Linked DNA regions of Cricetulus griseus. The protein of the gene in region 1 purifies or fractionates together with the protein of each later gene. This does not show direct contact. Links are inferred from orthologs where the notes say so. Each region holds a gene or a part of one and is shown on either strand. Other genes may lie near its edges.

What was found. Proteins that work in one complex are often made in the same cells at the same time.
Region 2: the proteins of Ndel1 (region 1) and Dync1i1 purify together in Homo sapiens (affinity purification with western blotting; 3 studies listed by BioGRID and IntAct, with this or other methods). This does not show direct contact. The link is inferred for Cricetulus griseus from reciprocal best matches to the Homo sapiens genes NDEL1 and DYNC1I1.

Annotation. Positions count from the first base shown.
Region 1 is NC_048600.1:82,725,377-82,731,753, forward strand, and holds part of Ndel1 (nuclear distribution protein nudE-like 1), read right to left. Parts: intron 4,851-6,377; exon of another isoform or gene 4,743-4,850; coding exon of another isoform or gene 4,717-4,742; intron 3,988-4,716; coding exon 3,851-3,987; intron 467-3,850; coding exon 293-466; intron 1-292. UniProt on the Homo sapiens protein: Required for organization of the cellular microtubule array and microtubule anchoring at the centrosome. May regulate microtubule organization at least in part by targeting the microtubule severing protein KATNA1 to the centrosome.
Region 2 is NW_023276806.1:218,952,016-218,958,392, reverse strand, and holds part of Dync1i1 (cytoplasmic dynein 1 intermediate chain 1), read left to right. Parts: intron 1-2,080; coding exon 2,081-2,214; intron 2,215-5,853; coding exon 5,854-5,998; intron 5,999-6,377. UniProt on the Homo sapiens protein: Acts as one of several non-catalytic accessory components of the cytoplasmic dynein 1 complex that are thought to be involved in linking dynein to cargos and to adapter proteins that regulate dynein function.

The DNA.
Region 1 (6,377 bases):
CAGATTGTGAGTTCAAGGCCAGCCTGGTCTACAGAGTAAATTCCAGGACAGCCAGGGCTGTCTCAGAAATAAATAACAAATAAAGCTTTTAGCTTTTTAAAAATGTCCCTGAAGTTGTTCCTATCTTCACTGGAGGCATCATCTATCTCATTTGCTACACATCACTGGCCTAGGAGAACAACCCTTTCTTGGCTTCACAGACACCAGAGTAACTTTAACTGTAGCAGTTCCTGTCCCATCAGCAAATGCTTTAAAACTGAACATAACAGAGCCACAAAGAGAAAATACCAACCTTTTGGTGAAGGGAAACTGTTTTCTGTTCCTTTCCCAACAGGTGTTGCTGGCAAGGAGAGTGAGGCTTGGACAGCAGAATCCATCTTCTCACAGTCCAGAGTCGGAGAGCTAGGAGCAGATTTGCGGGTCACTTCCTGTTGTCGTTCCCGAACTGCTAGCTCTTGCCTTAAATCTGCAAAATGTTTCAAACAAAGACAGAAATCCTCACTAGAGAAGCAAATATATCCTGCAAAGTCCCAACCAAAACATAATAATGACATTCCTAAGCATGTCTCAAAACAAAGCACCTGAAAATCATCTCATGAATAAAAATGTGAGTTCTACAATTTAAATAATCTCTTAGAACTTAAGAACATGGGGCAGTGAGATGGCCCAGTAGCTTAAAGCACTTGTTACCAAGCCTGACAACCAGAGTTCCATCCCTGAGACGGATATGGTATACTGTGAGAACCAGCTCCTACAAGTTGTCCTCTGACTTCCATATTTATGCAGTGGCACAAGCTCTCTCTCTCTCTCTCTCTCTCTCTCTCTCTCTCTCTCTCTCTCTCTCTCTCACACACACACACACACACACACACACACACACTCACACACTTTAAATAAGTAGACATAATTTTTTTTATTAGTTCAAATTAGGAACAAGCTTGCTTCAGATGTCAATCCCTTCTCCCTCTCCCTCCCCTCCCCCGAAACATCCCACCTGCCCCTAGCCATCCCAGTAAACGTAATTTTTAAAAAGAATTTTAAAATGCTAAACCTCAAGAGAACAGAACTATGCCCAAAGGCAAAAAGAAATTGATCAGTGAGGGCTGGAAAGATGGCTTTTCCACAAGACAAATTCAGTTCCCAATCCATGTCAGACGGCTCACAACTGCCTATAATTCTAGCTCCAGAGGATCTGATATCCTCCTTCTGGCCTCTGCAAGCACCTGCACACAAGTAGCATACACATACACACAAAATAAATCTTTAAAAAAAAAAAAAAACAAAAAGAGCAGGGTGCAAAATAGAACTCATAGTGAAACTAAATAACACAAAACAAAGTCCTGAAATTAACAAATGTCCTGAAATTAATAACACAAAACACTCCTAACCAACTCGTTCCCATATATATCTGCATATATCACATTTTGAAATAGTAGTTTCAAGACTATTTTACAAAAAACAATGAAGTAAAAAAAGTTTTGTGATTTTTTTAATTTTTTACTTTTTTTTCCCACAAGGTCTCATTATGTAGTTCTGGTGGGCCTGGAACACTCTATCAGTGAAGCTGACCTCAAACTTATAGCGATCCAACCACCTTTGCTTCCCAAGTACCAGGATTAAAGGCACGCACAGCCATACCATAGCTTTTTTAAACCACTGCTATGAAATCTTTTTTCAATACTGAATTTTTAATGTTTCCATTTACACAACTAACCTACAGAATTTCTGTCAAAAAAGAATAGGAAGATTCAGATCGCTGTGAGCTCAAGGACAGCATGATCTACATAGTGAGTTCCAGGATAGCCAGGGCCATGTACAGAGACCCTATCTCAGAAAAGCAAAATCAAGCCAGGCGCCCGGCATTGGTGGCGCACGCCTTTAATCCCAGCACTCAGGAGGCAGAGGCAGGAGGATCTCTGCGAGTTCGAGGCCAGCCTGGTCTCCAGAGCGAGTTCCAGGATAGGCTCCAAAGCTACACAGAGAAACCCTGTCTCAAAAAACCAAAAATAAAAATATAAATAAATAAATAAATAACATAATAAAAAGAAATAACACTTGATTAAAAAAAAAAAAAAACAACAAGCCAGGCAATGGTGACACACACCCTTTAATCCCAGCAGAAGGTAGAGGCAGGAAGATCTCTGTGAGTTTGAGGCCAGCCTAGTCTACAAAGTAAGTTCCCAGGACAGTCAAGGCAAATAGAGAAACCCTGTCTCAAAAAGACAAACAAAGATAGATAGATAGATAGATAGATAGATAGATAGATAATATTTAAATAAATATTTTTTAAAAATCAGCTAACACAGACTTTTATTGTCCAAACTTGACAGTGTAGAGGGAAACAGATTTCTGTGAGTTGGGAGTGACTATGGTTTACATAGTGATATTCAGGCCAGCCATAACTATACCGTGAGACCCTCTCTCAAAAAGCAAAATAGGAAAGATGTTAAATACAATTTTCTATAAGTAAGAGGCTGGGAATGTAGCTCAGGGATAGAGAGCACTTGCCTGGCAGGCATTAAGCCCCACCACCTCAAAACAAATGAACAAAACAATGAGCAAGACTGGGGATATAGCACAGTAGTACAGTGCTTGTCTACCATGCACAAAGTCTTGTGTTCCATTTCTAGCACTGCAAAACAAAAGCTATCAATAAACAATACCAAGTTAATATTTTACATATTACATAATCTAAAGTAGTTCTTCAGACACTGAAGAGGTGGTTCAGTAGTTAATAGAACACTCAGCTCTTCCAAAGGACTGGGGTTTGAGTCCCAGCACCCCAATGGTGGCCCACAACCATCTGTAACTCTGAGTCCAGAGATCTGATCTTTTCTAGTTCCCTAGGACACCCAGCATGCAGGCGGTACACATACATGCAGTCAAGACACCCTTACACATAAAATAAACTTACAAAAATAAAGAAATCTTTTTAAAATTCTAATTTTAAAAAAGTTCCAAATGTCACCACCCTCAGAAAAAAGAAAATAAAAAGGCATTTGAAAATATATAAGAGATGACATAAAATTAAAACACACTTCCTTTAAAACTCCCCTCACTCTTCCTCAGAAGCATAATAAAATTCAGATTATAAAGAAAACAAGATCAAGAGCAGTAAATGCCCCAACTGCTAAGTCATCTCTCTAGATCCAAAAGTCTATTGAAAAACTTGTGATGGCATGTATATTCCTATATTAAGCAGAAGAAAGGGAATGTGTATGCACACTGGTTTGCTTATAGGAAATAAGTCAGGAATTATACAAAGGAAGATAGAAAGACATATTTATGCACAACCATAAAAAACTGAACCAAATATGTCACACCGTTAGTGGGCTTTCCTTCTTTATAAAATTCTGAATTTTATTGTGCTTCTGGAGACATAAGTTTTAATTAAATAAAGTGAGTACTGGCTACATGTATAATAAACAGCAACATATATAAATACATGGTTCTATGTAGATAACATGAAGGTATTTAAATAGAATCAATACAGAAAAAAAAATCCCAAATGAAAGCAGTACTACCTTGGAAAAACCCAAACTCTCTATGCCTCACCTTTCTCATCTACAATATGGATGAATAATAACTACCTTGTAGCACTGATGATAGGTTGTGAAATAAATTACCAGGGGAAAAGCAATATGTAGTGATTAAAAGATAGGTAAATTCATGTGAGACTAGAGCTTCATAGAAATTGAGGGCTAGAGACATAACTCAGAAGCAGAGTGCTTACCCAGCATGCTCTAGGTCCTGGGTTTGATTTCCAGCACCATCAAAAGGGTTGATGCTTGGCTTACTCAGGCTCGAGGACAAGGCAATGGATAAATACTTGCTAAGTTATTACACTTACCTCTTGCTTCATCCTTTAACCTTTGTACTGAGACCAACAAAGATTCCTTTTCATCAAGTTCACTTTCTAAAAATGCATTTCGTTCAATGGCCTGATTTAGCCTTTGTTCAAAATCTTCCAGTGAAACTATTGTTGCCCTTTAAAAAAAAATTAAAAGTTATGAATTAAATAGCATGAACAAACAGCTAATACAAAGAAAACAGTTTATCTCCTGCCGTTCCTGACCCAGTCAGTCTGACCCAATTTGAAGAATGATCTCACTCCACCCAACAAAAATTAGCATGTACCCACTCTGTGGCCTCCCATTTCCTGCTATCTGCTACAGAAATAAAATTCCCCAACCTAAAGTTAGAACTCAGAATGCCAATTCTAATCTTATCAGTTACAGTAGGCTGCCAAAATGTCTCTCCAAAGCCTTTTAGTCTTTGGTCCCCAACAGTCTCCCCTCTCTTGCCTTAATTCTTTTTTCTCATCTGGATTACTGCTTCATAGTTTTACAACAACTCCTTGCTTAAACTTCCCAGTATTGTCAACCGGGCAGTGGTGGCACACCCCTTTAATCCCAGCACTCGGGAGGCAGAGGCAGGCGGATCTCTGTGAGTTCGATACCAGCCTGGTCTACAAGAGCTAGTTCCAGGACAGCCTCCAAAGTCAGAGAAACCCTGTCTCGAAAAACCAAAAAAAAAAAAAAAAAAAAAAACCTTCCCAGTATTGTCTTCTCAAATCAATCAGATGTTACCCTTTGTAAAGAGACGCTCAAACATAGCACACAGGGTTACTCCCAACCTGGCCTTCCATTCTCATACCCTTCAGCTGTCACTAGACCTGCCAATGAAAGCAAACTCTTAATGAAATAGTGCAAACACCTTCTTGCCTCCAGCCTCTTCACCATCTCTCCACGGTGAATTAACTTTTCTTCTTTGCACACTCAGCTCCAATTTGTAAAAGGGCTCTCCAGTACCCACAGGTGCTCTAGCTGCTCTGAAGCAGCTTGTACATTCTTCCTCCTGGAGCATTTATCATAGCAGGTGTTCTTGGGGTCAGCTCCAAGGACAGTGACTAGCATCATGTCAATCAACAGTCAACTGATAAATACTAAAGAAAAAGTACTAGGCTTGGGGCTGGAAAGATAGGCTCAGAGGTTAAGAACACTGGCTGCTCTTCCAGAGGACCTGGGCTAATCCCCAGCAACCATATGGTGACTCACAACCATCTTTAATGACATCTAGTGCCCTCTTCTGGAGTGCCCGCATACACGCAGTCAGAACACTGCATACACAATAGATAAATAAATGCTTTCTTTTTAAAAAGTACTAGATGATAATTGTAAAGTAGTAGGAGTTAGGTTTAGAATGGTAGTAAACAGTAACTGAGACATGAAAATCTGACAACAGTAACAACAAGCCACTGTAGGATGAAAGCAGTAATTAAAGGATCCACTGGTCAATATTAAAAGTAAAGAGACTATCCAGGCCATGGTGGCGCATGCCTTTAATCCCAGCACTCCCAGGAGGCAAAGGCAGGTGGATCTCTGTTGAGTTCAAGGCCAGTGTGGTCTACAAGTTCCAGGACAGGCTCCAGAAAAACCCTTTTTTCACAAAGCAAAAAAAAAAAAAAAAAAAAAAGGAAAAAGACTGAAAGTGTGAAGATAACTGCTGAGTCCAAGCTTAAGATATACAGGCCTACACAACAGGAGGTAAAGACTGAGAACACACAAGGAAGAGAGGACATGTGAGGCACATTTCTGCTTTGCTTTTTGATGTCAGGATCTTACTCTATAGTATGGCAGAACTGGAAATCACTCCATAGCCCAAGGTGACCTCAAACTCATAGAAATCCTCCTGCCTCAGTCTCCAAGTAGTGGGATTACAGGCACAAACCATACTCAGCTGTGAGACACATCTTAAATTTGGAAAAAAAAAAAAAAAAAAAAAGACAAGTAGGGTATGGTGGCGCATGCCTTTAGACCCAGCACTCTGGAAGCAGAGGCAGGCATATTCTGTGAGTTTAAGGTCAGCCTGGTCTACAAAGCAAGTTTCAGGACAGCGAAGGCTGTTACACAGAGAAACCCTGTCTTGAAAAACCAAAAGTAAGCCGGGCGTTGGTGGCGCACACCAGCACTTGCCCCCCCCCCCCCCCCCCCCCCCGCAGAGGCAGCCGATCTCTGAGTTCGAGACCAGAGACCAGCCTGGTCTCCAGAGCGAGTTCCAGGATAGGCTCCAAAGCTACACAGAGAAACCCTGTCTTGAAAACAAAAACAGAAAGAAAGAAAGAAAGAAAGAAAGAAAGAAAGAAAGAAAGAAAGAAAGAAAGAAAGACCAAAAATAAAATAATAAAATAAAAATAGAGTACTTGCTGCACAACAATGAGTACCTGATTTCAGCTCCCAGCACCCACATACCAAACTGGGTATGATTTTGTGTGTGTGTGTAACCCCGGCACTATGAAGAGCAGAGGTCAGAGGATTGTGAAAGTGCTTGGAAGGACTTTATTTAGGAGGATAAAGGCTTTAGGGAGATTTGTTTTT
Region 2 (6,377 bases), on another chromosome or scaffold:
AGGCGTCTGAGTGCATGCACACGTGCGAGCACATGTGTGCAAGACATGCTCATGCTTCCCACATGTCTCTGTGTGAAAAAATGTAACATTCTCCCCCAACTTAAAATGTGGAAAGTACATTGGAATAGTCTCTGGAGAATATATGAGAAATATCCAGAAAATTACCCCCCAGTCTTACAATTCTTGTCCCCTCCCCTGGAATGATAGCACTATAATGTTCCCCACTCAATTTCTGAAGAGGACTAGTTTCAAGATATATAAGGACATGTGGAAATTGTAAAGACTCCATTTAAGTCTCTACTGATGTAGCCAAAACTAACGCTAAGTTTTTCACATAACGTTAGGGGCGGGGGGGGGGGGGGGGGGGGAAGAGAGAGAGAGAGAGAGAGAGAGAGAGAGAGAGAGAGAGAGAGAGAGAGAGAGAGAGAGCGCAATAATAAACAGGTCACAATTCAGCTTCCTGGTTTTAGACAGGCCTGGAGTTGTGTGTGGATAGTTTATGGTTTTGTGTTAAAATTCTCAGCCATGTGTTGTTTTCTTTTAAAAGCCTGGAGATTATAAACAGATACCAGAGCAAAACCCTCTATTTGAGAATTTTTAATTGCCCATTTTGCTGATTAAACATGTGTTTGTTTAGGTTAAGTCAGTGGTGTGGGAGCCCCGAGCCCGCTTTTTATTATTGTTAGCATGCCCACAGATGTCCGGCTCTGCATGGAGATGGAGTATTTCATAGTCTTGTCTCCATGGAGGGCAGGGATAAGTGCCCTCAGTTGCCTACCCCTCTCCCCCTGCCACCCCCATCCCAGTGAGAGACCAACATTCATTTCCTTCCTTACCACCAACTTTAGAGATGGGGCAGAACCTCGGACGTTCCTGTTTTCTATGTTCCTGTCAAGGCACTCTCCCCTCTAGTCAGCCTGCTGCAACGCTGTCAATGTGGAGGTATCATGAGTGGTCAGTACTACATGGAGCTTCAGGGTCGCTGGGACTATACCCTGTCAGCAAGGATTTCCAATTCATGGTTTTCCAATTGATGAAATCTCTGGCCAAAATAGCTTGGTTGACTTGCACAGGAAAGTCTGAGTTCTCGTATAAGTCCACCTATAGTTTGTGCCAACCTTCAGATACACAAAATGGACTGCTTGATGTAAATAGCCAGGAACAATGAGGGGTGTTGTTATTACCCTTCATTGTCATTAAACTTAATGTAACACAATGTCTTTTTTAGACACTTGTTTTAAGTCGTGTGTGTTTGTGTGAGTGGATTCCGTGTGTGTGGAGGTGTCACAGAGGTCAGAGGATCAGATCCCCTTGAGTTGGAGTGACAGGCAATTGTGAGCTGCCTCACACAGGTGTTGGGAATGGAATCCAGGTCATTTGGAAGAACACTCAGTGCTCTAACCACTGAACCATCTCTTCGGCCCCCAGAAGCATGTGTGTCTTTTGACATACTCTCTAAATTTAACAGAGAGTTTTCCCATAATAAAGACTCATGTACTATCTGAAGCAGTTACTTAAATGCCTTTCTTTGTGAGTTCAGAGCCTGTACACCCAACAGCTACCCTTCACGGGGTCTACTTCCTGTAGAATTCTCATTTCTATGACCTGAGTGACAATTTCCTGGTCTCTCAGTTCATGGAGGACCCACAGTGCCTCTATGACAAATATGTTTAGTACATCTGATATTAATACACGTGTATTCTCACGAACAATTGATTTTGAAAATGTTTGTAAATACAAGGGTATTGTGTGTTTTATTAAAGCCTGGAGCTGACAAGCGTAATCATTACAGTATTATCTTTAGTTTCTGCACCATTAGTTTCAAAATTCTCACCTGTCATCTCTGCCTGGCTGGGGAAGCGGCGGCACACGCTGATGAAATCCAGCCGGCCTGAAACCAGAGACATGGAGCAGCATGGATGTCAGGGGCTTCTAGTAGAGCCTGGCTTCTAGCACAGTGGGGGTCTTTTGTAGCGCTGTGTGAAAAGCAAACACGATTTAGCCAAATGATTTTTCCATGCTATCTTTGGCATGGCGAGGAGTTGACAGATGGAAATGTAACCACACCATGTTTTGGTAGGAGAGCATGGAGCTGGTGTACAATAAGTCCAAGCCTGTCGCTGTTACTGGAATGGCTTTCCCAACGGGAGATGTCAACAACTTCGTGGTTGGCAGTGAGGAAGGTACCGTCTACACAGCTTGTCGTCATGGAAGGTGATTTTTCTGTTTTCTTTCTGATGACATGGTCTTCATGTTCCAAATTCTTGCCATCTAGATTATAACCACCTTGCTTTGCAAGATAGTTATTTCTGAAGAACTACAATGTACGACCTCAAATCTAATAGCTTAAAGCACACATCTGTCTGGGGCCCTGGTGACTTACAAACCTTCAGACACTTCACATTGCCTTGAAGAAAATGTTCGACTTCTTCACGGAGCCCATCACACTCCCTATTCCTTGCCAGACTAATTTTTCACACATACCATCAGGCTCCCACCATGTACCCTTCAGAGATTAACAACCCCCAAATATTGCCTCCTCCCTGCGTGCTTTCATGAGTCAGTTCCTCTGTTTTCTACTTGGTCTAGCATCAGATACCATCATAAGAATATACTAAAGTGCAAGGTACCTGTGTCCTTGTTGAGGGTAAAGACTGATGCAAAAGTAAATAGTTGCTTAAGAACCATCAAGGCAACTGAAGTTAGATAAGCAAGAGAGAACCCTAGCCAGTCACGCTGGCTACTTTATATATTCTTCTGCATACAATTGCAATAGTATCCATCACATTTTGTTTCCATCAGTCTTCATCAGTCCTTATTCTGCCATATTTCTCTGGTTAAATTGTTTCCATTTCTTCTTTGATTTCCTGCCCCAGAACCTGGTACATAGTTAATAGGTGAAGGGCTGAAATTTAAATAAGAAATAAAGAAATGACAGTATTTAAATAATGAAAGAAGTACCTTAAGACCCTCCCTCCAAGCCAGGTGGTAGTGGTCGGGGTGGTGGTGGCACAGGCCTTTAGTCCCAGAACTGTAGAGGCAGAGGCAGGAGGATCTCTATGAGTTCAAGGCCAGCCTGGTCTACAGTGCAAGTTCCAGGACAGCCAGGACTACACAGAGAAACCCTATCTTGAAAACAAAAACAAAACAAAACAAAAGATCCTCCAAGTCAGAAAGGTTGAAACAGTGTGAAACACACATAGAACTGTGCAGTAGCTCCCACGAGATACTGGTGGATGCCTCTGAAGTCAGCTGTAACAAAGTGGATTTGTGACACTCGGACTTAACAGGTGGGCCTCTCATCCTTTGAAAGGATCCCCGCATCCACACTGATGCTTAACTTCTCTTGCGCTTTCATAGTTCTTGGCCAATGAGTTTTTCATCTCTTGCACTCATCCCAGGCTACTTAGATTTAACAAGGAATTACAAATTGTTTAAGCTCAGCTACGTGAATTTTTCCACTCTAATAACACAAGCTGTGATAGTCCCATTGTTTTTGTGTCTAGAGAAGCAGTTTTTGCCCTGCTCATAGGATTTAAAGATGACTGGGGAAGTTAGGTCCATGTCCAGCATCTCTGTAACAATAAAACCCAGACTAAACCCACACACAAAAAGATAGGATCAGTTTATTCATTTGCTCAGACATTTGCTGCTCGCCTCCTCTCAACAGAGTGTATTGCTGAATGCTCTACGTAGACGTAGACAGGTGCTGTTTAAACCTGGTTCTTTGGCGGGGAGTGGGGGGCTTCAAGACAGGGTTTCTTTATATAACAGTCCTGGCTATCATGGAACTTACTCTATAGACCAGGCCGGACTCAGACCAGAGATCCGCCTGCCTCTGCCTCCCAAGTGCTGGGATTAAAGGCGTGCGCCACCACCCGGCTAAACCTGGTTCTTGTCAGGAAACTGATGCCAGTGAGACTAACACGTGCATACATGCATGCAGCACCCATAAAGATGCCATAATTGGTATGTGACACACAGATCCAATGAGTCAGACGCATGGCCACAGTTCCTTCTCTGTGTGTACTCAGATCAACAACACAGCCTTTTGGTTAACCCAATTCAGCTACAGCCTGGGTGTGCATACTCAGGGTGTTTATGAGCTGGAGTGTACATTCTGATTTTCTTCCAGATTTCTTAAGTGAGTCACCATCTAAATGAAGGCTATTTTTATTTTGTGGCTATTGCAAACAGGCCCAGAGTATTTTGCATTGTTGTTCAAAAGAATGTGCCTCTGACTCACACCACAAATGCCTTTACTGATTTTGCTTTTGACATTGGTCCATCCATTTGAACTATAAAATGCAAATTTTGGTAAGGTCATAAAGTAGCAAGTGCTGGCTCTGTAATAATGTTAAACAGGTCATTTAGGGCTGCAGGGGAGAGCTAGGGGGTTTCTATTTTTTCACCTAATGTAAAGTGCAAATCCAATTCCACAAATTAAAGGAGATCCTCACTTTGCACCCTGTAAAGCCTCTCAGGATGCTGCTAAGAACAAGCTGAACCCCACCAGGGGCCACTTCACAGATCTGCTGTTCCTGCTCACCAGGGCACATTTTGCTGAGCACACGTTGGAAGCCCTGTTAGCAGTTTTACTGAGAGGAATGGCTGGTTACACGGAAGACACTCAGCAGTGCTTTGCTCATGATTCCAAATTTTACTCAGCACATTGACACTCACTGGTGCTCAGGGCCCAAATGTTTTACTAACTGAATTCATTTTTGCTTTTAGTGACATAATATTGAGATTCCACAATCCCTACATGTTTGTCATACTTACAGCCTCATGCATGTGAATCTTTTAAATATAATATTGTGGGTATATTTTCTAAGCATTGCCTAATTGTGTATGACTGCATGTAGGCTATTACGTAGTAAGAGAAGGCTGGAAATAATCCCAGTTCAGTTAAATAATCCATGCCAGAGGAAGACTTGTAAAATGTGCATCCTTATTTCTCAAGTGTGCTTCTTTTAAGCAGCATAAATTTTCTTTTTTCCTTTGTAATTTAACTCAACAAACATTTATAGAGTATTTATTGTATATTAGACACTTGGAAACAAGAAATGTAAGATAGCTCTGCTTCTGGAATTTACAAATTGAATCTCTAATCTCCCTTCAGTTTCCAATGGAATGGAAAGATCTCTTTTCTATATTTTATTGATACCATGTGAATTATTTTGAAGCAACTACAGTTTTCATCAGATGTGACATTTTTTTAGACATGTCAACTTAGTTTAAGAAGTTTCCTTGGAGGACTATGCAACTATTCATTCAAAGAGTTATTGAATTGTATAGCCAGTAAAGTCCTCAGAGGGCACTCAAATGGGGCTTGAACACCTCAGGGGTTGTTGCATCATAAATAAGAATCTCGTGAGACTCAAGCACATTTGTTTCACCGCAGTAGTGTCTCCAAAACAAAGAAATCTGTAAGGTCGATGCAAACAGACAAATGATAAAAATGTTTCTTATTTAAGTCTTAAGATTTCTTAACTGTCAATGTTTTCCCTGTCAAAATTGCTGTGAAAATGGCTTTATTCTTGATCTTGTATGATTATTTTCTTATTTAATCATTTTTTCATTTATTTTTGAGATCATAATTTTATTACATCATTTCTCCCTCTTAAACTTTAAATATACCCCCTCTTGCTCTCCTTCAAATTTGTGGCCTCTTTTGTTATTACTCGTGATTATAGGCAAATATGTATAAATGTGTGTATTCCTAAATATGAACCGCTCAGTTTTTTATTCATTTTACGTGTATGGTTGTTCTAACAGAGGTGAGCGCTGTTATATTTAATCAGTCTTTGCTTTGCAAAGATCACTGAAATGATGTGTGTTTGCTCTCTGCAGCAAAGCAGGCATTGGTGAAGTCTTTGAAGGTCACCAAGGACCAGTGACGGGAATTAACTGCCATATGGCAGTGGGTCCCATCGACTTTTCTCATCTGTTTGTCACATCCTCATTTGACTGGACCGTCAAACTGTGGACCACAAAGGTAAGGATGCCTGGATAGAAACTGTCCTATAGTACACAGGGGATGAGGATGTTTCCCCCTGGGGGAGTTGCAGAGAATAACCGTACCTGGCATAGAGATTCAGACAACATACTGGAGAACTCCATCTGTCCAGGAGCTAAATAATACCTTAAGGTCTTTTTGAAGTCCATACTTATTGTAAATGTTTAAATTATACTTGAAAACAGATGAATTGTAAAAAAAAAAAAATACACAAATGATTAAGTAATGATAAATCCAAAGTCCTCCTTTACAAATGTTACTCATGTTAACCCACCTGTATCTTGCTGTTAATCTCTCTGGGTTCTGTAGCATTTACTTACTCACATTCATGGCTATGATAAAAAAATGTGTAGTTTGC